Linked DNA regions of Lonchura striata. The protein of the gene in region 3 interacts with the protein of the main gene of each other region in a pairwise test. Links are inferred from orthologs where the notes say so. Each region holds a gene or a part of one and is shown on either strand. Other genes may lie near its edges. The genes, in order: RNF216, CPSF6 and UBAC1.

What was found.
Region 1: the proteins of UBAC1 (region 3) and RNF216 interact in binary tests that used the Homo sapiens proteins (3 or more experiments, as listed by UniProt). The link is inferred for Lonchura striata from reciprocal best matches to the Homo sapiens genes UBAC1 and RNF216.
Region 2: the proteins of UBAC1 (region 3) and CPSF6 interact in a two-hybrid assay, tested with the Homo sapiens proteins (2 studies listed by BioGRID and IntAct). The link is inferred for Lonchura striata from reciprocal best matches to the Homo sapiens genes UBAC1 and CPSF6.

The regions. Positions count from the first base shown.
Region 1 is NC_134618.1:14,784,372-14,791,689, forward strand, and holds the start of RNF216 (E3 ubiquitin-protein ligase RNF216), read right to left. Parts: upstream 3,028-7,318; 5' UTR 2,916-3,027; intron 2,243-2,915; exon of another isoform or gene 2,131-2,242; intron 1-2,130.
Region 2 is NC_134607.1:44,500,521-44,507,793, reverse strand, and holds the start of CPSF6 (cleavage and polyadenylation specificity factor subunit 6), read right to left. Parts: upstream 3,075-7,273; 5' UTR 2,998-3,074; coding exon 2,938-2,997; intron 1-2,937. UniProt on the Homo sapiens protein: Component of the cleavage factor Im (CFIm) complex that functions as an activator of the pre-mRNA 3'-end cleavage and polyadenylation processing required for the maturation of pre-mRNA into functional mRNAs.
Region 3 is NC_134624.1:9,223,478-9,230,785, reverse strand, and holds the start of UBAC1 (ubiquitin-associated domain-containing protein 1), read right to left. Parts: upstream 3,032-7,308; 5' UTR 2,900-3,031; coding exon 2,762-2,899; intron 1-2,761.

The DNA.
Region 1 (7,318 bases), on a different chromosome or scaffold from region 3:
GCAAACAAACAAACAAAAAAATCTCCAAACTTCCAATGAGAGGAATGAGTGGTGCAGCTCTGACTGTCCCATAAAGAATGCAGCCAGTGGCAAGCCCCAACACCCAGCACTGCTGGCACTCACACACAATAAACCACTCACAATGGCTTTAGAAAGATATAAATAAAAATAAGACACCCATTCCAAATTAATGAATGGAAGCTTCTTCCAGCAGGCAACTAAACAACACCCAAAGGGCTTCACATCTCTTGCACTTGAATTTGTGCTACTCCAGGTTGCTAATCAGCTCCTGGCCCCTGGGATATGCTTCCTGCCTTCCTCCAGCTGCGCCAGAGCCGCCGGAATTGTGTGTTTGCCCCACCTATTCTTGCCACAGGACTTTTCAGTGATTTGTGTCCAATTTCAAAGCACAAGGCTCGCCAGCAGCAGGAACGCCCACCGCATTCTCAGGCAGACAAAACACTGGTCTACCCCGGAACTTGGACTTCGGAGGCAGCTCCTGAAACTCCAGCCCAGGAACAGGCTGCCAGCACCCTGCTGGAAACCAGACTGCACCTTATCACCAGTAACACCTGCCCCAAGTGCTCTTCTAGGAACTGCTGCTCCTGCCCCGACTGCCTGCAGCCAGGCCAACCAGAAGGAAAACATCCTCCTAGGAAGCAAGAAAAAGAGATGGAAGAAAGCCTGCTACCACAATGCAGCACCTCCAAGAAGGCTGAATGTCTACAGATCTTCAGGAAATCTGTCTGAGTCCCTTCCCAAGTCTTGGTGTTCCAGGCACAAACTCCTGTCAAGATGACGGTTTATGAACATCCAGTCACACCACGAAGACACCCAGCACATGAAATCTATTAACGTGTTTACAATTGCAGAAGGCCTGATGCAAGGCAGTGGATTTTTTGCACAGCATTCATCCTAGAAACTAAAAGCACACATTAAAGCTGTAAATCCCAGAGTTCTGGAATGAAAAGCTGTCCCTGCAATCCTACTAGTCCAAAACAAAACATGGTTTGAGCCTCTACCACAGGCCTTGTACCTGTTCAGGGATGTACCAGAACCTGCTCAAGATATTTGGATTTGCAAAATGATGGGTCTCAGATTTCCTGCCTCACATTCCAAGCAGGTTGCTGGAGGAAAAACCCTCATGCCATCCTCTCTGAAAGCAGGAGAGGCCACATTAGTTGAGCAAAGGCCAGTTTAAATGCCTGAGAGGGGACACCTGCCTTTCCCTCCACTGCTTCCACTGGAAACCTGCAAGAGCTCCAAAGTGCATCAGGTGGGAGAGCAGAGATTGTTAAGAAAGAGGACTCAAGCTCCACAGAGACAAAACAGAGAAGCAGAGATCTGCCCATAGGTCTTAGGACTGGCTGTGCCTCTCAGCCACCAAGAGACCCTCTAGAACTGCTAGGATTGCCTGAAGCAATCCTGTTCCATAGGGAAAGAAACACAGGAGGGAATACTCTGAAAATCACATGGACATCAAGCTTTAGTCCCTTAGTACCACGTCGGGATTATGGAAATAAAAGTGCACATCAATATGGAAATAAAATAAATAAATGGAAATAAAAAGCAACATCAGCTATTCTCTTTCTCAGGATAGCGACCAAACTGAACAGAAACATCAACAACTAAACTTATTTGTACGAAAACTGCTCTAAGCATCTGTCAGTAAGATTGTAAAGTAAGGTACTGGAGGACACTCAAAGAGAACACTCCAGATCATAAAGCACAAGTGAGATGAAAGGAAAAACTCCCCAGGCTGGGCTGGTAGGTGCAAGCAGCCATTATCCACCCAGGGTCCTATCCAGCACAGCTGCAAATCCCAGGATCTCTGGGATGACTCTTTAAGCCAATCCACATTTTGCCCACCCCAAAGCACTGCCCCAGGCGTGCTCACACTCCTCTCTTCACACACACGCTGGAGCTCCCACAGCTCTTCAGCCTCAGGAGACCTCGGTGAGATCCTGACCTGCCTCCAGCCTTCTGGGGGAACAAGGTCAGCTCCAGGGGCAGAAAAACTCATTACATAAACGCAGGGTACATTAACACTTCCAGGCTGTGCTCTACCACGGCTGGCTGGCACTTGGATCAATACAGAAAGGAAAGAAAAGGAAGAGGAGTATCTCTTACACTGATCCCTCAGCTCTGAGGACAGCTGTGTTTGGGGTTTCTTTCCTGCAGCAGCTCCCACAGCAGATTCCTGAAATGTCGAGATGTCCCAGCAGCACCGAGTGCTCCCACACTGAACAGGGGTCAGAAGAGAACAACCTTTTACTCTCCTCTCCTCACAAGCTCCAAGCACCGGGCCCGGGGTAGCCGGGGCAGCCCAAAGAGCCCCGGAGAGCAGCGCCTGTCCCCGGGTGTCCCTCGGGGCTGCGGGGGAACACGGGGAAGGGACCCCCTGGCCCCGGGAAGGGGGAGACGGGACCGGCCCTGAGGGGATGCAGGGCGGAGGGAAAGGACCCAGTCCTGAGGGGAGCTGGAGGGGGAGGGGGTGTCCCCGATTCTGAGGGAAAGCGAGGAGGAAGAACTCGGCCCTAAATGAAAGTGGAGGGGTACGGGAGGACGGACACGGTGGACCCGTCCCTTCAGGAAAGCGCTGGGAGGAACGACCCGTCCCTGACGGGAAGGACCGGCCCTGAGGGGAGGTGGGGGGGAAGAGAAACAGACGGAACGGACACCGGGCCCTGAGGGAACGCGGGGAGAACGACCCGTCCCTGAGGACAGGCCCCAGCCGGGAGCAGCGCCCGACCCCGCAGCGAGGAGAACGGCGAGGCCCAGGGACGGCAGCGCTGTCCCGGCACTCAGCGGCCCCGCGGGACGGAGGGGCCGCCCCGGTGTCGCCCCGGCACTCAGCGGCCCCGCGGGACGGAGGGGTCGCCCCGGTGCCGCCCCGGTGTCGCCCCGGCACTCACCGGCCCCGCTTCATTTAACCGCCGCTGCCGCCGCTTCCGCCCGGCCCGCGCCACGTGACCGCGCCGCCCCGCACCATAGAGAGCCAGCGAGGGAGCGCCAGAGCGGCGCGCGGGGACGGCGGCGCGGGCGGGCCCGGCACGGCCGCGCTACCATAGAGAGGGGCGGGCGGCGCCACGCCCCCTGCCGGGCGGGCGGTGTCCCGCGGGGAGGGGGCGCGGCCAGCGCCGCACGTGGGTGCGGGGCGGGGCCCGGGCCGAACTTTTTGGGGGGCTCAGGAATTTTGGGGGGTGCGGGACCCCTGTACGGGACCCCCCCACCGCGGTTCTGGGTGCTCGTGGAGGCCTAAGAGAATGGCAGGGAAGCGCTTCTTCCCCCCTCGGACACCGCGTTTTAGATGGGGACGTCCCGCAGGAAGAGTAGAAAATGGAATTTGAGGGATTTAAGTGGCTTGCCAAAGCCGCCAGAAAAGGAGATAGCCGATTCGTTGAGCTCCGCATGATTTCCTAAGAGAAATGGGATAATTTTAATTGACTTTTCAAGAGGCTCACGTCGTAGAGAAGTCCTGGAGCAGCCCCTCTACAGCACAGCCCACCCACTGGAGCTGGCTCCAGAGATTCTCCTCTCCCTTAGAGCCAAAAGGAAAGCAGAAATCAGGAAAATCTCACAAAAAGTACTTATTAAAGAAAACAGCAGTGTGTGACAGAGCACTGAAGGACTGACACGAACTCCTGCTCCAGGTAATGAAATCGTTCAGTCCCTGCCGCGGGCTGACGCGAGGGGTGGCTGCAGCAGCTCCCCGGTCATTTGTTCATATTGTGAAATTACTCAAAGAACAAAAAGCATTTTATTTGTACTCCCTCCTTATTTATTTATTAAACCAAATTATGGCCCAGCTTTCAGCATCAGGGAGGGAAGGCACTGCTGCAGCACACACCAACACTGAGCAACCTCCTCGGACTTGTTCCTGTCCTCCACTTGCAAAGCAGCAGTAATGAGGGAAAAAAATGCAAACAGGAAAGCAAGGATTCATCAACATTAGTGAATCTTTCTCCAGCTTTCATTAATGGGGAGATTACAATCTTTTCTGCAAATTGAGGTTTTGGTAAAGCATCAGGACAAATAATGAGAAAAGAAGGGAAAAAGGTGAATTACTGAAACAAAATGTTCTCCCTGCAGAGGAGGACTTTCATCTAGGCAGTCCATACAGATCTGTTAAATCAATTGCATTTTGATACTTTGTCCACTCTTTTCCTCTGATTCCCACAAATATTTTAACAAAAAAGCAGTGGCTACCAAGAGTTTAAAGTTGTGAGTTTATTGCATATGTAACAAAAATGAACATGACCTCCTGGGTCCAGCCTACTATACAATCACTGTTTATTCCAGCTGGTTCCATAACCACATTAAATAGAACTAGTATTTCTTTAAATACTTTGATTTAGACATAAAATGAAACATTAGTGTACAACTTCCACAAAATAAATCTGCAATAAAAACAGTGGGAAGAATAACAAGGATAGCAGCAATACTTAAACATGACATTACAAAATAATAAATTAAAAAAATACATTATAAAGTGGTTGAGGAACAACAACAACAACAACAAAAAAAAATTAACAGATTAAAACCAGATCCATACTGCGTTTCTGGGAATTTGCTGTGCCACACGGCCCCGAACCTGGGCACTGGCTCCAGAGGGCCCGGTGGCTGATCAGTAATTTACAAAATCTGTTGGATTTTACAACCACCTCGACTTGAACTGAGGACAAACTGCTGAGCTTCGAGCAGCCTTTTTGGAGCAGGGTCTTGTCTAACATAATGCCCAAGTGAACACTCACACCCAGCCAACAGTCTCGTTCCTCCCCGCTGGAACACACGAGCAGAGTGGTGTTTCCTACATCCCTGAGCGTAGAGTAGAGGCTGAGGAGCAGAAGCAGGGCACGGCTGATGGAGCAGCTGTGGCTGTGCCGTGGGACAGGAATGACAGACACGCTGTACCTTGTATTTCCTTCGGGTCAGATCCAAGAGTGTCCGTGCACGCGGTGGGACGTGGAATGACAACATGAACACGCGACTCCATGGTTTTCTTTGGGCAAGTTTGAGAAGTAACAACCAAGTTCAAGTGCTGGCAGACCGAGTGGGAATGGACACAAATTCAGACAGCTGAGGTTATCCCAGACCTCTGAGAGCCACTGGCTCCAGCCATGCTGTTGGCATTTTGTCCTTCTCTGGCCTTGGAAGTGGGCATGGGAAGAACAGCCCATGGCTCCGAAGCCATTCTGCCTCACTCCTTGCTGTTCCTCCATCCACCCAACCAGCTTTAAGGTCTGCCTCAAAATGCATGTACAGAACAAGACAAAAAATGTCTTCATCGTCACTGAAGTGGCACAAAATTGCAAAGACAACACAACGGGAGAGGTGGTGAAGCTGTTGAAAAGAGAACTGAAATAATTTAAAAGACAGTGCCCTATTCTCGTTACTGTCAGCACGGAGGAGGTACCTTGACAAGGGCTTTTAAATACAGCAAAAAACAGACGGACTTTTCGAAACAACAATCCTTGCCTATTCTTATTTTGTGCATTCAATAAAACACTGACCTAGCAAAGACATTAGGAACTATCTTATGTCAACTGGGTCGTTGACATAAAGCTACTTGACCTATAGATCTCCAAATCAGGGGCCTTTCCCTTCACCTCACTTGGTTTGTACTGAGCCAGTTGTGCTGCAGGTGTGACAGGATTTTTATTAGGGGTGGGTTTTAGTATCTGGGCTTTTGGGGTTTTTTTACACTTCTTTTAGTGAAAAACCCACATGAGACTGCATGCAGAGCTTTTGGGCAATAATCAGTTTTGCATTTTTACTATCTGACTGGTTTATTGCACATTCAAACGTACTGAAAGGATTAAATACACTCTATGAACAGGTTTGACTTCAAAGCAATTTGGAAAATCCAGGGTTGTGGGAACTCTGCTTCTCAGCCTGGGACCGTAGGGATGCTGTCTGCCAACTGCTGCACATCCCAACAACCAGAACTGCAGAAACTGGTCTCCAAGTGCCAAAAGATCCCTACAGAACAGGGGGCTGAACATACCTCTCCTGTACAGTCCTGCAGGATGAGCATCTTTAGCCACCCTGTGCAAATCTCACATTATGGTACAATTTTACACCTCCGATGCGACTCCCGACGACAAATCACAAGAATTATGGTCAATGGCAAAAAGAAAACCACAAACAAACAAAACAGAGATAGATGCCAGGTTTTGACAAGTGTCTACTTTCTGTCCTATCACAGTTTAAAGCTATTACCAAATGCAATTAAATAAAAAGACAAAATAGATGTATTCCAGTAGACATCTCCTAAAGACAGTCTCTTACCCACAGCTGAATTTCAATGCACTATTCCATTAATGTTACATCTGTTAAGTGGTTCAGTCATGAATCTCTCTAAAAATCAGGCTTGCCAAAGAAAAAAAAATCCTATACAAGCAAGCCTGCTTAAGTTTAGACATGTTTGATAGATAACTGGGTCTCTCTGAAGCCATGTTATTTGTTAAAATACCGTCTCATCTTGGTGTGCCAACTGGAAAAATGTTAGTGATTGAGTGTCTTAGGTTACAATGTAGGATGTAACCAAAGGTATGTATTCTATCACAATCTCCTAAAACCATCTGGGGCAGTGTTCTTTATCTCTTCCATGACACATCCCTGATAACTCCCTCTGGGGGAATTATCTTCTGTTAATGGGTCATTAAGCCTCAATGCATGACTCATAAAATCACATCACCCACTGTGAGATGCTCCACCCAGGGGGAGGAACCAAGCTTCCTACCTGGATATAATCTGAGATTTGGACCACCACAGGCAGCCCTTACCTACTGCATTCCCAGAGGACAAGAGCTACATAATCACCACTGGACCTTCAGAGGAAGACCAGACCCTTCTACAGGACCACTGCTTCAACAGAACCACATTGATCACTTCATCAGGACTGCAGCCACCACTAACTTGGGCTGCCACCACCACCCTGACCAACAGGGTGTCAGGTCCTATCCTGACTGTCACTTTAAACCAGTGTTTCTGTATTATTGCCTTGTTATATATGCTAGTAAAGAGCCATTATTCCTATTTCTCCTATCTTTGCCTGAAAACCCCTTAATTTCAAAATTATAATATTTTGGAGGGAAGGAGGTTACATTTTCCATTGCAAGGGAGGCTCCTGCCTTCCTTAGCAGACACCTGTGTTTCAAATCAAGACATTCAGGTATTGTATTTGCTTCTGTTACCCCTGTGTTAGAGAACAAACCTTTTAATATTAGTTTCAGATATTGGAAAAAATAGCCTTATGGCTCTCTGGAGAAATTTTCATCCCTACATAACTGAAGTAATAAATTCTTCCAATAGC
Region 2 (7,273 bases), on a different chromosome or scaffold from region 3:
AGACAAAAAAAAGAAACCACAATTTAAACAAAACTGTAATTGGTCAGAGCCAAATTGACTAATGCTGTTAGCCCAAGAACAAAAAGTATTATTTTCATGAACAACAAGTTAATAAAAGAGGCAACACTGACAGACAATGAGGTTCAGCTGGAATAGGAAAGATGCATCTTCACTCAAAAGATTTTTTATCAAGTTTTGTAACCAAAACTAAATACAACCCATGACAGTTTATGGCTATCATCCATCTTAGCCAGCTTGTAAACCCATGGTTCTGTGGTCTTTATTTCACCTTTATAACCTATGGTTCATTTAGCACTAATCAAGCAGAACAACCTTACCCTCCACCTACTTGGAAAAAGGCATTAAAAAAATCCCAGAAGAGCCTCAAGGATGAGTACCTTGAGGTGTAGAACAAGACAAAATAACCAAGGGAAGTTTATCCAGTTAATAAGTCCTAAATCTAAATGAAGGGTTAACTCCAGATGCAAACACAAGTCTTGTCCCAGCTTGGGTATAAATACAGTTATGTACTGCATAGAGAAGAACAGCAAGCTCCACAGCACATTTTTCAGTCCCTGCCAAAACTAGTGGAAAGGGTTTCTATACTCCAATTTAAAAAATATTAGTACGTCACATTCATGTAGAACAACAAAATCAAAAATCAAGTTCATTTAACAGATAAAACCAATTTATTTTACAAATATGGTGTTTGTAAAATGCATAAATTGTAAAAATACAAAATCAAATTAATAATGGAAATCACTTTCTTCCTAAAGCATTTTTAACTGTCATCTTAACACATCCACATAATTCTGTATTATCCATTTAAGCTGTCAGCTTCAAATCAGGAACAGCACTTTGTTAATAAAAGTTTCTACACACCTTTTCTCAATGATGTCAGAATTAAGAGGCAGTAACTAATACAACTCTCTTTCACATATGACAGAAGGAAATGCCAAAGTGCAGAGGCATCAATCTCTCACAATTTTACAAAAGTAAAACTTTTATATTGTCTCCAGACTTACTCAGTTCAACAATATTACTTTAAATAAAAAGTCACAGAAATTAAATCTGGAAAATAACAAACAGCAATTTTTGGGGGTGTGTGCCACAGTCAAAAACACAGAAGAAAACCCCCTAAAACAAACAAACAAAACCCCCAAATTTAAGCTGATGGAAAAAGGGCAGTAGCCTCTTCTCACCTTTCTGCCCTGTATTTTGCAAGATTTATGAACTGAAACAACAAACTGCAGAAATGCAAACCCACAAGGGAAGCAACTGGAGTGAATACAGAGAAAAAGCAAAAGGGTTCCCTGCCTGCTGGATTAAGCTAAACTAAATTATCACAAGACTCTCTTCATTTGTAACACCATGGTTATATAGAATATCAACAGTAATGACTACCTGAGACCTAAGTAGACCAGGACCGTGTGAGTGAAACAGATCATCCCCATCACTTTTGTTCCAGCACTATCTCTTACAGCACATAACTATTCTACTCTGAGCCCTTCTGCACACATGAATTTACACAAACACTACCAGATTCAAGTGAGGGTTTTTTCTCTGAAAAATCTCCTTTGTTTTCAGTTTTATTTAGAATTGATTAAACCAAATTCAAGTTATCATAGAACCTCAAAAATGTACTCTTCTGCTGAATGGTGTCTGCCCTAGGGTTCATTCCTGTTTAAATTCATACAGTGGGTCTTCAACTGTAAGGGAGAAACCTTCACATACAGACAAAATAAGAGCAAATCAGTGCTTTTCATCATCTCCTTTTAGTATGGCACTCTTTCTGAGTACACCTTTATGAGATTATTAATACTCAGAATTACTGTATTAATCGATGTCTGAAGAAATAGTCTTCTAAAAAAGCTACAAGTTGCTGAGAAAGTTACATATTCCCTATGAATTCCAAAGCCATTGCTTATTTCCCAGTTCTCTGTAGGGCAAGCTGGCATACAGCCGGGCCCCGTAAGTTCCTGAAAGTGCAGTTGTTCCCGGTTATTTATGCTCTAGGGTAGGAACAAAGCAATTTGGGGCAACTCAACCTGGAGAAGTGCAGCACTCGCTAACAGGACAGATGGCATGCAAAACTCATACAACCATCGCGTTTAGGTAGGAAAGCTGGCACACGGCTGTGTGGTAAAGATGAGGGAAAAACACAAACAAAACACCAAAAATCCACAACAAAACCAAAAAAACCAAACACACCTAGAAAAAAAGAGGACTACTTATAATCCAGAGAAGTTTCATATTTCATCTATATTGCCTCAACAAAATATGAACTCACCCTCTAAAAAAGGCTTGTGTCACTTTTTAGAATGGAATAACAAGCAAGAAAAACAAAAAAGGAAATACAAAAAGCTGGATACTCTCTCCAGTGCTGCAGAATAAAGCCGCACTAGTTCCGCCTCCCCCGCAAAGCGCGGCCGAGGAACAGACACCGCTCGGCGGCTTTTCGATTCATCTACGAACAATGGCAGCGCTTCCCCTGCGCCCCGGCGGGAAGGGGCCGCTCTCCCCGCCGCATCCGGGAGGGCCCCGCCCGCCAAGCCGGCGCGGAAGAGCCCTCCGGAGCGGCCCTGAGAAAGAAAGGCAGAGAGGGAGGAAGGCTGGCAGAAACGGAACAGCGAGGAAAGGAAAGAAGGAAGGCGCTCGCCCCCGGCGCGCCCAGCCCGCCGGCACAGCCGCCCCTCAGCGCCGGGCGCGCTCCCCGCCCGGCCGGGCCGCCGCCGGCACCCGCGGCCCGGGCGGGGGGCCGCGCCCGCCCGGCCCCGCGCGGGCCCGCGCCCGGCGGCGGCGGGAGCGCCCGAACAATGGCGGCGCTGCGGCCGCCGCGCTGAGGGCCCTGCAGGCGGCGCGGCCGCGAAGGCGGGCGAGGGAGGGGAGCGCAGAGGGGAGCGCAGCGGAGAGGCCGCGCCCGCCGGCCGCGCGTACCTGGTTGAACTCCTCGCCCACATCGGCGTAGATGTCGATGTGGTCCACGCCGTCCGCCATGGTCCCGCCCGGGGCCGCCGCCAGCCGCGCCCGGCTCCCGAGCCGCCGCCGGGAGGGGGAGGGAGCGGGGAGGCGGAGCGGGCCGTCACTTCCGCGGCGGCGCGGCGGGGCTTCCGCCGGCGGCGGCGCCGGGCCGCTCCTCCCGCCCCGCCCCGCCCCGCCCCGCCCCGCCCCGGGCGCTCCCCGCCCGGCGGGGCCGCGTTGCTGCTGCCGCGTCCGGCCCGGCCCTGCTCCGCGCTGCTGGGCTCGGCGGGGCTGCGCCGGCCGCACCGTGCCGGGCGGTGAGGTCGGTGTCGGTGTCGGTGTCGGCGCTGCGGGGCGCAGGCCGGTGTGCCGCTCCGCCGCGCTCCGGGAAGGGAGCTCCAGCGCAGTCACAGCGCCTTGGTGCTCAGCAGCCGAGGCCTGTGGCTGTCGGCTGAAAATGAGCACCGCGCTGCGCCTTCAAAGCAGGGGCGCGCCGGGCTCCGGAGCGCAGTGAAATGTGCGGCAAGGACACAAAACAGGCACACGCCGAACTGCATTTAGCCACGGCTCTGCTGTGCTGCCGCAGAGCACTCTTTTTTAACGTCACAAAGTGAAGATAATTAATGTCAAGTCAATCGGGGTTCTTTCTTTCGGTGTTGTTTGTTTTTGTTGTGCATTTTGAACTGTTAGGGTTGCAGGACAGCTTCAAATTAATTTTGAATGAATGTTCTGTTACCCAGATCCATGTTTAAACTCCAGGTGATTTTTAGAAACATCTCCTGGTATATGAAGCGCAGTGCACATAATGCTCTACATAATAGGTTATGTTCTGCTTTGTACATTGTGTTCCACATCCAAAAATAAACCTGCTTTTTTTACTTTATCAAAAGCTGACAATAAGAAGCCTGTGCATCTCAGACTGAATTAAAATAATGTAAAAACATCACTGCAATGAATAAAAATGTTATTTTTAGCATGACTCAAGTTTTCTTGTTTCATGACTGGAAATACTTCACAGTGTTTGGATTGGCATCCAAAGTACTGACTTCATCTTGGGTCCTGGACCTGTGTGCAGATCATCCCTGTCTAGCAATCCCACACTGAAGTGCCCATGGAAAAGAAATATGAATAGACAAAAAAATAGATAAAAAATCGGAGATCCAAAACAAGGCATATGTTGTGGAGCGCACCTGCTGACAGTCTAGATAGATTTCAGATATGGAGATGCTTGGGTTATTCCTGGTGTCGTTATCCAACTGGTGAAATGATAAATTTGTCAGCTGCAGATCCTGTGTCATTCCTGCTGTTAATTCTGGAAGACGGAAAAGGGTTAAAGGGTTTTTATTGAAGTTTCCAGGTTAAATGAACTAGCAGATTGTGAGCCCTTTGGTAAAACAAAAACAAAAAAACAAAACAAAACAAAACAAAAAAACATCAAAAAAACCCCAAACATTTTAGAGGTGGTAGTTAGGAACATACAAACAAGGGATCTTAATTGAACTTCTAGTGTTGGTTACAATTGTGATTTACACTACTACATTTATCACAGGTTAAAAGTACATGTTCACATCTATGAATGCACAAATTACTGGTGAATGAAATGATTGACTGGTTTTGCAAAGAGAATCCACTTTTCTGGATTTCTCACAGTCCATACAGATGCTGTTAAAGTATTGAGATCTGTTTGGGTTCACTTACTTCCCTAATGGTGAACTGATTTAGTAACTAGTCTTCTAGAGAGTAAAGTGAAGCGCTGTGACAGTCACCACTTCTGGCCATGCTAAATAAAGCTGCTGAAATCAAGACAACCTAAGCCTTGCTATCCTAATGATCAGATTAAAAAATAACAGCAGATAGTAGGTCATATGCAATTGAATGTTTTATATTCATCTGAGTATTATCCATAGGTAGTTTAAAAAGGCAAGATAATAAAATATGAATGAAAGTCATCAGAACCACCTCAGGGATTACCACTAGCATTTGAACGATCTCGTGTGGGGCCTTTGAAGAGGCAGGAAAAAACATCAGCCTCTGCTTTGCTTGTTGTGATAATGAAGTGAAGCCCTTGGACCCCCATATGCTGTTTCATGCTCAGGAGTTTTTTCCACTTTGGAGCCCTTTTTAATAGTTTGACTTGCTAGATTTACTGTGCACAGTCATTTACAGAATAGATTATGATAATTGTTATTCTTGTATGCATATTACTAAGTAAATTCTGTAGGCAATGTAGGAGACTAAATATTATGCAAGCTGTTCTGTTCCATTTTTGTTGTGTTTTCATTCTTTCCATGGATAGACTTGCTAAATACGTCTTCCTCTTTCTTGTGGTCATCAATAGCTTCTTTGTGAATTACTGTGCCTCAAGGGAGCAACTTCAGGGTTGGTCTACTCCAGTGAAAATATTAATGCTTTATGTATTGTACACATTTAAATTATTTAAACAAAATGTTCCATCCTTCACCCAGTAAAATTCAGGAGGCTGGCTGAGGTGAAGCAGGGCTTGAAACAGAAATGTGATCATTAGATAAAGAATTCTTGGCAGTACAACATGGTCTTGGCGAAGTGTCCTCATAAGTTTTGTTGGGGACAGCAGGAGCCACTACGCATGAAGTAATCACAAACCTTTCAAACACTTAGCCCACCATGGGAACAAATGGCAGCAGATGAACTGGTGTCTTCCTTCAGTTCTTCTTTCACACCGTGGGATGTTCTGTCATTTGATGATGGCAGCTGGAACTCCCTTAATAGCAAAAGAAGGTGGGAAAGGCACTGTAGCAGTTCTACAAAGGAAGGTAGCCTTCAAGTCCCTCTTTCTCATGGATACACAAAAGCCTATTTACTTGTATATCGTTCCTTTGGTCTCTTGAGCTGTTAATGATGCAAATTCGGATATAATCCTCATTTTGAACATAAAAGCAGCAGTTGGTTCTCTGAGGATCTTGTAACATACATCTTGTTAGCCAACAGAACTCCCCATACCTTCCTCTTCAAAGCATTTCAGACCATTTTCTATTAGGATGTTCCTGCTGCAAGACAAAGGGGAGGAGAGCTATTTTACCAGCCCTTTGTATTGTATGTGATTATCTCAAAAATACTTAAATATATTACTTTAGTTAAGAATGGGAGAACCAGTTTCAATATAATAATGCTTTTAAACATTAACCTATTTTTGCCAGTATCAACATGGCAAAAATATATATTTATATTTCGAAAAATAATTTTATGTAGAATTTGCCTGAGGAATCAAGACTGAGAATAGTGCAGGATTTTTCAAATGGACTTTTATTTCAATATCAGCATAAACTGTTCTTGTAACATTTGCAAAAAGCTAATCATAAAATATGCATTTTTCACAATGCAGTAATGTTGTAGGCAACAAAGTGAAAAGATAAGCTATGAAAAAGTGCTGTGTTAATCAGGATAGTACTCAAAATCAGAGGAGACCTCAGCTTAGTTAAGGAGTGCAGTGTATGTTTTGTTATATAAACTTATGTCCTAGCTATGTCAGTCCAATTGCAATGACTGTTTTGTTTCTTTACTTGTAGACCTGAAGGCTTTGATCTTTCCAAATCCTCTTGGAGCCACTCTGCATGCCCTTTTATTGTTTTTCTCCCAGTAAAATATCCAAATAGTGAAAGCCTGTACACTAAGCTGTAAGAAATAGTTTTTTCCACTTAAATGCCTTAGTTTATAAAAGTCCACAGACAAAAATGTGAGAAAAAAAAAATATATTCTAAATGAGATGGCAAATAGGCTCAATTCTGCATATTTGCTTTCAGAGGCCAAAATTTCAGGTTTTGTTAACTCTCGTGTAACTGCAGGCTGAAATGAAAAGAGACAATTGTGTTCCCAACAAAGGTAGCAACAGCCTGTGCTGGGAAAGAGGGAATATTACCTCATCTTTTGGTTGCAGCTCACAGTTAGATTGGATTAAGTGTAATATAAAACTGCATCCAAAGGGCATCTACAAGAACTCCTACTGACAGAGCTATTGTAGGAAAATAGCTGGCATTATTCATCGCTTGCTCAGAGTTGTCTTTTTATAGGTATTCAATTGTTTTGGGATCATACATGTGAGCATTGTGCTCCATCTTTTTTCCCCTCTATAAGTGCCTGTCAGTCTACTGATTATCTTGGTTCAGCTGTTCACTCTGTGGTTCAGAGCCAGGTTGAAAATGGTGGTTAATCAGGATATGATTTGCAAATAGTATGCATCTTCTAACCCTCAAGGCAGGAAAGTGTATTAGAGAAGGTAAGTATAGTGCAAAAGGTGATAATAAATTCAATTGCCTCATTTGAATCCACTTTCATA
Region 3 (7,308 bases):
CAAAGATTAGAAATAACAACCTGAAATTGCTGCTGCTGTTCTCACCACAAAACAGGACACTTCATACTGACCTTGCCTGCTGTGCCCACAGCAAACTGCTTTTAATGACACTTCTAAATATTTCCACCAAGCCACTTCCACCATGTCTGCAGAAGAGAGTGTGCACCTTTTGTGCACCCAGAAATCCCACTGAAAATCCTAATTTCGGTGGAGCATTTAGTGCTGTTCTTCACCAGCCTCCTGCAAAGGAGCATTTTGACTCCATCACCACCTTCCCTGCTGCCTGCAACTGATGGAAAACTCAGCTCCCTGCTGTTTGTCCAACAAAACACTCTTGCTCCCAATACAGATTCTCACCTGAACTTTGGTTCTGATGCCTCAGTGAGACTGAGGTGAGAATATCTGAGTCCTGCTTTGTCTGACAGGAGCCTCTCAGGGAGCCTCCAGCCCATGAAGTCTGAACCAAGGCCAGAGAACACATCAGCAGCTGGGAGCACCTCCTGGAATGGATCTGATAAGGTGCCCAAAATGCCTGGGGACATCAGTGGAACATCTCTGCAAAGCAGCTCAGAATATTCCTGGGACAGATCCTGAGCTAGGAGGAGCTGAAAAGGGCAGCTGGGAGGTGTTTTTGGGGTGGGCACACAGACCTACTTCCATTTCCCCCACCACATATAAAAAAGTATGTAGGACAATCACATAATAGATGTGGGCAGTAATTAATCATAAAACTAATCAGGTAAGAGTTTAAGCAAAAAAATAAAGTTCTGTGGCCACCAAATCTTATTTCCAGTTCTTCCAACCATTTTGATAACAACTGCAGAGAATAACAGGGCAGATATGGGCACTAGAGACACCAAAGAGGCTGCTGAGTGAAACACTTATCAGTGACACTCAAGATGGCTTATATTCACATTTTAAATGCCCTGGAAATAGAAAAAAACACCTGACCAGAAGTGCCTTTACTCATTCTCACCTTTGCTTTTTAGTTTTGGAGTTCCCAGCAGGCTGCTCTGCCTGGCAGGGGACAAATATTTATCACAGGTGCCCAAGCAACTGCTGAAATCCTAAGCCCTGGTGATGCCAAACACCTCTTGCAAAGCTTGGAATCCTGGTAAAACCACAAAGCTTTGTTTGTTTTAAAATACAAAAAAAAAGGCTTCTTTTTTTTCTTGCTTTTAATAACAGAAACATTTGAAAGTAGCCCTGACACTCCCTCCTATTAAACTTGGGTGGTTGAAACCATCTGTTTAAACAAATGGGGGAAAACCAGTGGGAGAGGTTTGTTTCTTTGCCTAACTAAAGAGCCCAAAACATCAAATTTGGGGGAGATAAAGACATCCAGAGTGGCACTTCAGAGATCAGCCAGCATTTGAAGGTTATGGAGGGAAAAGTGGCCACTTCCCCAGCTGCAATCCGTTACAAACATCTCCCTCTGCTTCCTGAAAGATTTCAAATTTCAGAGACATTCAGGAACAGACTCATCAGTCTCTTGGAAGAGGTGGCTGCAGAAATGATCTCAAGGTGTTATCAAGATTCAGTCCATGAGCAGGAGCTGTGATTTCTCCAGATCTGTTTTCCCCCTCATAAAACCATTTATTATCCATTATGGTTATGGGAATCCACTCCAGGATGGATTTTTGCACAAAGCAGCAGAGATTGAAATCAAATATCACCCTGAGTTATCAAATTGTGCCTAAACCTGCTCTCTGGCAGTGTGAAGCCATTCCCCCTCGTCCTGTAGAACTCCATCCCTCTCTCCCTGTACTGGAAGGGATCCTGGGCACCTTTATTTCACCCAGGAAATAAAAATTTAACCCTTCAAACGGGAGTTAAGCGGTTAGAAAATACAGGATTTTCTCCTATTGCACAGGTTTTATGTAAAAAGAAATCTTTGTAGGACTTTGAAGGCAAACCCCCCCACACCATTAAATGTGATTTAGTGAACTGTGCTCCCAGGGACAGGCTGAGGCTCCAGCTCTTGCCAGCCCCAGGAAGAAATGCAGCAGGTCAGGAGTGCAGCTGCCAGCCCAGGCTCCTGGCCACGGGTCACCGTGTCACACGCTGCTGCTGTCAGTCAGGCCAGCACTCCCACAGTGTGTGGGGCTCTGGGGACAGCAGCCTGGCACTGCCTGTGCCCCTGGGCACAATCTCCTGCCACACGGTGACACTTTGGCCACCTCCACCAAAATCTCCCTGTTTAAAGCACGGGGAGAGCGTTAGGAGGCATTTGATCTCCCCCAGAAACGCCTCAGTGCCAGCACAGGGGGAGGCTGCACTCGGATTTTAACAGAGCAGGCAATTTGTGCTCTTCAGTTCTCAGTTTCTTCTTCCTTTGCTCAGCCACAGAAAAACCAGGATGGAGTTCAACTCACACAGCACAGACTGCTCCGACACCCCAAAACACACCCCAAACTCTGGAACAAAACATCCCCAAGCGATCCCTGCCCAAACCCCCCTCTGCCAACACACACAGCTCTCCAGAAGGCGGATTTATTTTATTCCCACACGGAGCAGTTCCAGGCAATCCTTGGGGAAAAGCAGACACGGCGCACAAAGCCACCTGCCCACCTGAGCTGATTTTTTACCCCATCCTCTTTTAAAAACCATTTACAGGGCGTTGAAAAAAAAAAAAAAAAAGCCAGCTTTCCTCGGGGGACAATTTTCCTTTTGCCGGGACTGTTTCCCCGTCGTTCCCTGCTGGTTCCCAGCCCCCAGAGCAACCCCGGCGCCTCCGCCCGGCCCCGCTCCCGCTCCTTACGTGCTTCAGGCACCGCTCCTTCAGCTTCTCCACCGTGGTGTCCTCGGCCACCTCCTCCAGCCACTCGGCGCCCTCCATGGTGCACACATGGAGCCTCAGCACCTTCCCCGCAAAGATCTTCTCCTCCTGCACGAACATCGCTCCCGGTCCCGCTCCCGGCGCTTCGCCGCCGCCGCCTCAGCAGGCCCCGGGCAGCGCCGCGCGCTCCCGCCCGCCCATGCAGGTGACCCCGGGCGGCCCGGGGAGCGGCGGCCCGGCCCGGGGAGCGGCGGTGGCTGTGCCCGGCCCGGCCCGGCCCTGCCCGGTGGCACCGCCGCTGTCACCGCCCGGGCCCCGCCGTCCCTCCGGGGACACGGCCGCGGCCGGAAACGGAAACGCTGCGCAGCGCGGCGGCATGCTGGGAGGTGTAGTTCTACCGGGGTGGGCTTCTCCGGAAGTGAAGGAGTAAAACCCCCGCCTCCTCCCCTTCGCGCCCCTGAGGCTTTCAATCTTTAATAAATCTTTAATAAACCTTCAATAAACGATTAACGGCACTGACGTTTAATGACGTTTAAGTCCTTTTATCAACGGCACCTCCGCGCCGCAGTTATGACGGAGTTGCCCGGATGCATTGTGGGATCGCGGCGTCTCCCCCCATGTCCCGGTGCATGCCGGGAGTTGTAGTTCCGCACCGTGAGGCTCGGGGGTCCCCGCGGCGGCCCGGGCAGGGCGGAGGGGTCGCGGAGCCCCCGGGACAGCGGGAGGCACCGGGGCGGTGCTGCCGTGCCCAGCGGGGCCGGGCGGAGGGGTCGCGGAGCCCCCGGGACGGCGGGAGGCACCGGGCCGTGCTGCCGTGCCCAGCGGGGCCGGGCGGAGCGGCCGCGGGCAGCGGCAGTTCCCCGGCGGGCCGGTAGAGGGAGCCCGCGGGCCGCCGCTCCCCGCTGCCCTCGGTCCTTTTGATATCGTATTATTAAAGCTTTAATATCAAAGTTAACTTTGATATTGTGAAAAATACATGGCTTATGATTGGATTTTTGAAAATATTACAATAAAAATATATGCGCAATGTTAGATAGTTATACTGTGTTAATTCTCTTAAGTAGCGTGTTAAATATAGTTTAAGTTCCAGCATAATGTTAAAATAGAGACTATATATGTAAAGAAAGTTGTTTTTTTGTTTGGTTTTTTTTTTTTTTTTTAAATAAAATACTCACTTCAAAGAACACCTTAATCTTCCGGGAAAAAAAAAATATAATTTTCTTATCAGAAGAAGCTATTTCTTCAAACCTTACTCAAACTCAAAAACACCTTAAAAATTAAAAGAAACAGTTAACAAACAACAAACAAAGTTTTTATTTTAAATAAAATATATACATAACCATAAAAGATATAGAAATATACAACACAATATTACTTTTAAAGTTATTCCTTTGTTCACAAAGTATACTTTCCATAACTTAGTATCCAAAAACATTCAAACATCCATAATGCTTTACTTTTTATTGTCTTATAATATTGTGCAAAATACATATTTTATGATTGGCTTTTCACAAGTATTACAATAAATAGTATATGTGTAATGTTAGAAAGTTATACTATGTTAATTCTCTTAAGTAGCATGTTAAATATAGTTTTAAGTTCCAAAATAATGTTAAAATAGAGACTATATATGTAAAGAAAGTATTTTTTAAAAGAATAAAATACTCACTTCAAAGAGCACCTACATCTTCCAAAAAAATTTATAATTTTCTTATCAGAAGAAGCTAATTTCTTCAAACCTTACTCAAAAACACCTTAAAAATGAAAAGACACAGCATACAACAAAGTTCTTATTTTAAATAAAACGTATACATACCCATAAAAGATATACAACAAATATTACTTTTAAAGTTATTCCTTTGGAATTTTGGGGGTTTTTGGAATGGGGTTCAAGGGACAAGATGGATTTGGGCATGTCCTGGCCTTCTTCTCCTTCTCCTTGCCCTCCATGTCTTGCTGTGCTGGTGACACTTTTCTGTTGGTTTAAGGTACAGACACACTGTCCAATATAAATTATAGATATTGGCACATTATTGTAAATATAGTTCAGGTAGTTTTTTCTATAAAATATAAACACAGCTCTGAGGGCAGACAGGATGGCACAGCCGAGCTGCTGGACAGAGCTCAGCAGGGCAGAGAAAGGAGGAAAAATAAATAACCTTGAGGAGCTGATCCTACACATTCAGACTCCTTCTCTGGCTGGGAAATGAGGACTCTGACACTGCTGGGGTCACCCCAACACCCAGACCCCGAGACTGGGTGACCCCAAGTCCTTGGGATGGGCTGAGCACGAGCTGCCCGACGCCAAATCCACCCTGAACGTTTCTTTTCCACTGATTCCTGGTGGATTTGCTGCTTCCAACCTTTCCCTGCCCCATGGTGGGAGCTGAGGTCTGGGGGTGGCTCAGGAGGTGCCACTCAGAGCTGCTGGAATTGGGGACAAGCAGGGCAAGGCTTTGCTGGGAGTTCTTTTAAAGCACCAGGGAGCAGGGAGAGATTCCCAGCAGGACAAATCCAGAGGTGGGGAGCTCCTGGTGTGCTCAGAACCTTCCACAGCCATAAAGGGGCTCTCTGCTGCAAAGGAGAAGCAATATCTGGGGATGAATCTGGAGCAAAGGCAGGGAAAATAAAAAGAGATTTCTGCTCTCTGGCCATCTCTTGCATTGAAGCAGCTCTTGCCTAACAAAAGTGGAATACTTTATTTCCGTGCTTTGAATGCAGCTCCAGTGTGCTTGATAAAATGAACCCATAAAATTGCAAATATGAGGCAATTTGACTACTGATGGCTAATGCATCATAAGGGCCCAGGGAATGGAAGCATTTAAAAACACCCCATCGAAACACTGGGCACTGCCTCCTTGCCTTGCTCCACAGCAGAATAAATAAACAATATGTGTCTGCTACGCTGGTACTGTCCAAAGCCAAAGGAATGAGAGCACAGTGTGTTACTCGCTTTTTATGGCTGATCCATTATGGCCAGAGACCAACGTGGGGATGAGAAAAGGGGGATCAGCAGCTCTTTCCCTTCGAGGAAAGGGAATTATTATTATTTCACATCCCCAGGGGAATTATTTCCCGTGGCTGCATCCAGGATCCTTCCCTGTTCCCCAGCATTGGCCTGGCTCTGCTCCAGTTTTGGGGGGACAGAGCCCACAGCCCTCAAACACCTCAAATACCTCAAACACCCTCTGTGGTGCAGGGGAATAGTGGGAGAGCAGCTCAATATTCCTGCAGGAAACAAAAATACCAGGGAGCTGACCAGGAACACAAAAAGAGGCTTTTCACAGGGGTGGAGAGCCAGGACAAGGGGGAATGGCTTCAGACTGACAGGGAGCAGGTTAGATGGGATCTGAGGGAGGAATCCTTCTCTGTGAGCATGGGGAAGCCCTGGCACAGGTTGCCAAATCCCTGGAAGTGTCCAAGGTCAGGTTGGACAGGGTTTGGAAAACACTCTGGGACAGTGGGAGGTGTCCCTGCCATGGCAGGGCGTGGAATGGGATGAGTTTTAGGGTCCCTCCCTGTGGGAATGCAGAGCTTCCCTCTGGCTGCCCTGGGACCCTGGCAGGGGTCAGGAACCCCCTGGACAGAGCCCCAGAGACACTGGCTGTGATCTCTGGCCATGGAAAAGAGTTTTCAATCTTACAGCATAAATTAGCAGCTCTGAGTGTTTTATAGAAGTGATAATTAAGTGTGGCACGGGTGAAAAAGTAAAATTTTAGGATTCTAGATGAGGGGTCCAAAGGGGACAAGATGGAGAAAATTTGGTGTGCCTTGTCCTTTTTCTCCTTCTTCATGCCCTCCATGTCTCACTGTGGTGTTGGCATTTTTCTGTTGGTTCAGGCTGGGGACACACTGTCCAACGTAGGTGACAGATATTGGCACGTTCTTGTAAATGCAGCCCAGGGAGTTTCTGGTATTTAATGTTTGTCACATCCCACTGAGGGCAGAGCCCCACACGCTGCCCTGCAGGACAGAGCTGGGCAGGGCAGCAGAACATGTGAGAGATAAACAGAATAAACAACCTGGAAACCAGCACAGACCAATTATGGCTTCTGCTTTGGCAGGGGGCTGACAGACAGAGACTTTCTACGATCTCAGAATCATTAATCCCACAGATTCTGACACCTCCCTACCCAAGGAGCAGAGGTGTGGGAGCAGGACCTCAGAGCCCTCCCCAGTCCCATTCCTGGGCTCGTTTCTTCTCTTGCAAGGACTCCAAGGAGCTGATTCCAAAGCAGGCAGTGCTGGCAGAGTGGGAACATCCAGCTCGGGGGAATCCACACCAGCAAACCCCGTAATCTCTTTTAAATTGTCTGAGAGTGGGAGGAATAAAAGAGACTGAAAATTACACACCTTCCCCCCCCCCCCCCCCCCCCCCCCAGCTTTTCCTGGGCAATCTCAGAATTTATCGAGACAACTCCTGTGGGATGCTCCATCATGTCATCCAGGACTTGTGTATCCACTCTTCTCCCGCCGCTGCCGAGGGAAGAAATATGATAACGGGCGGGATAATGAAGCAGACATGTTTT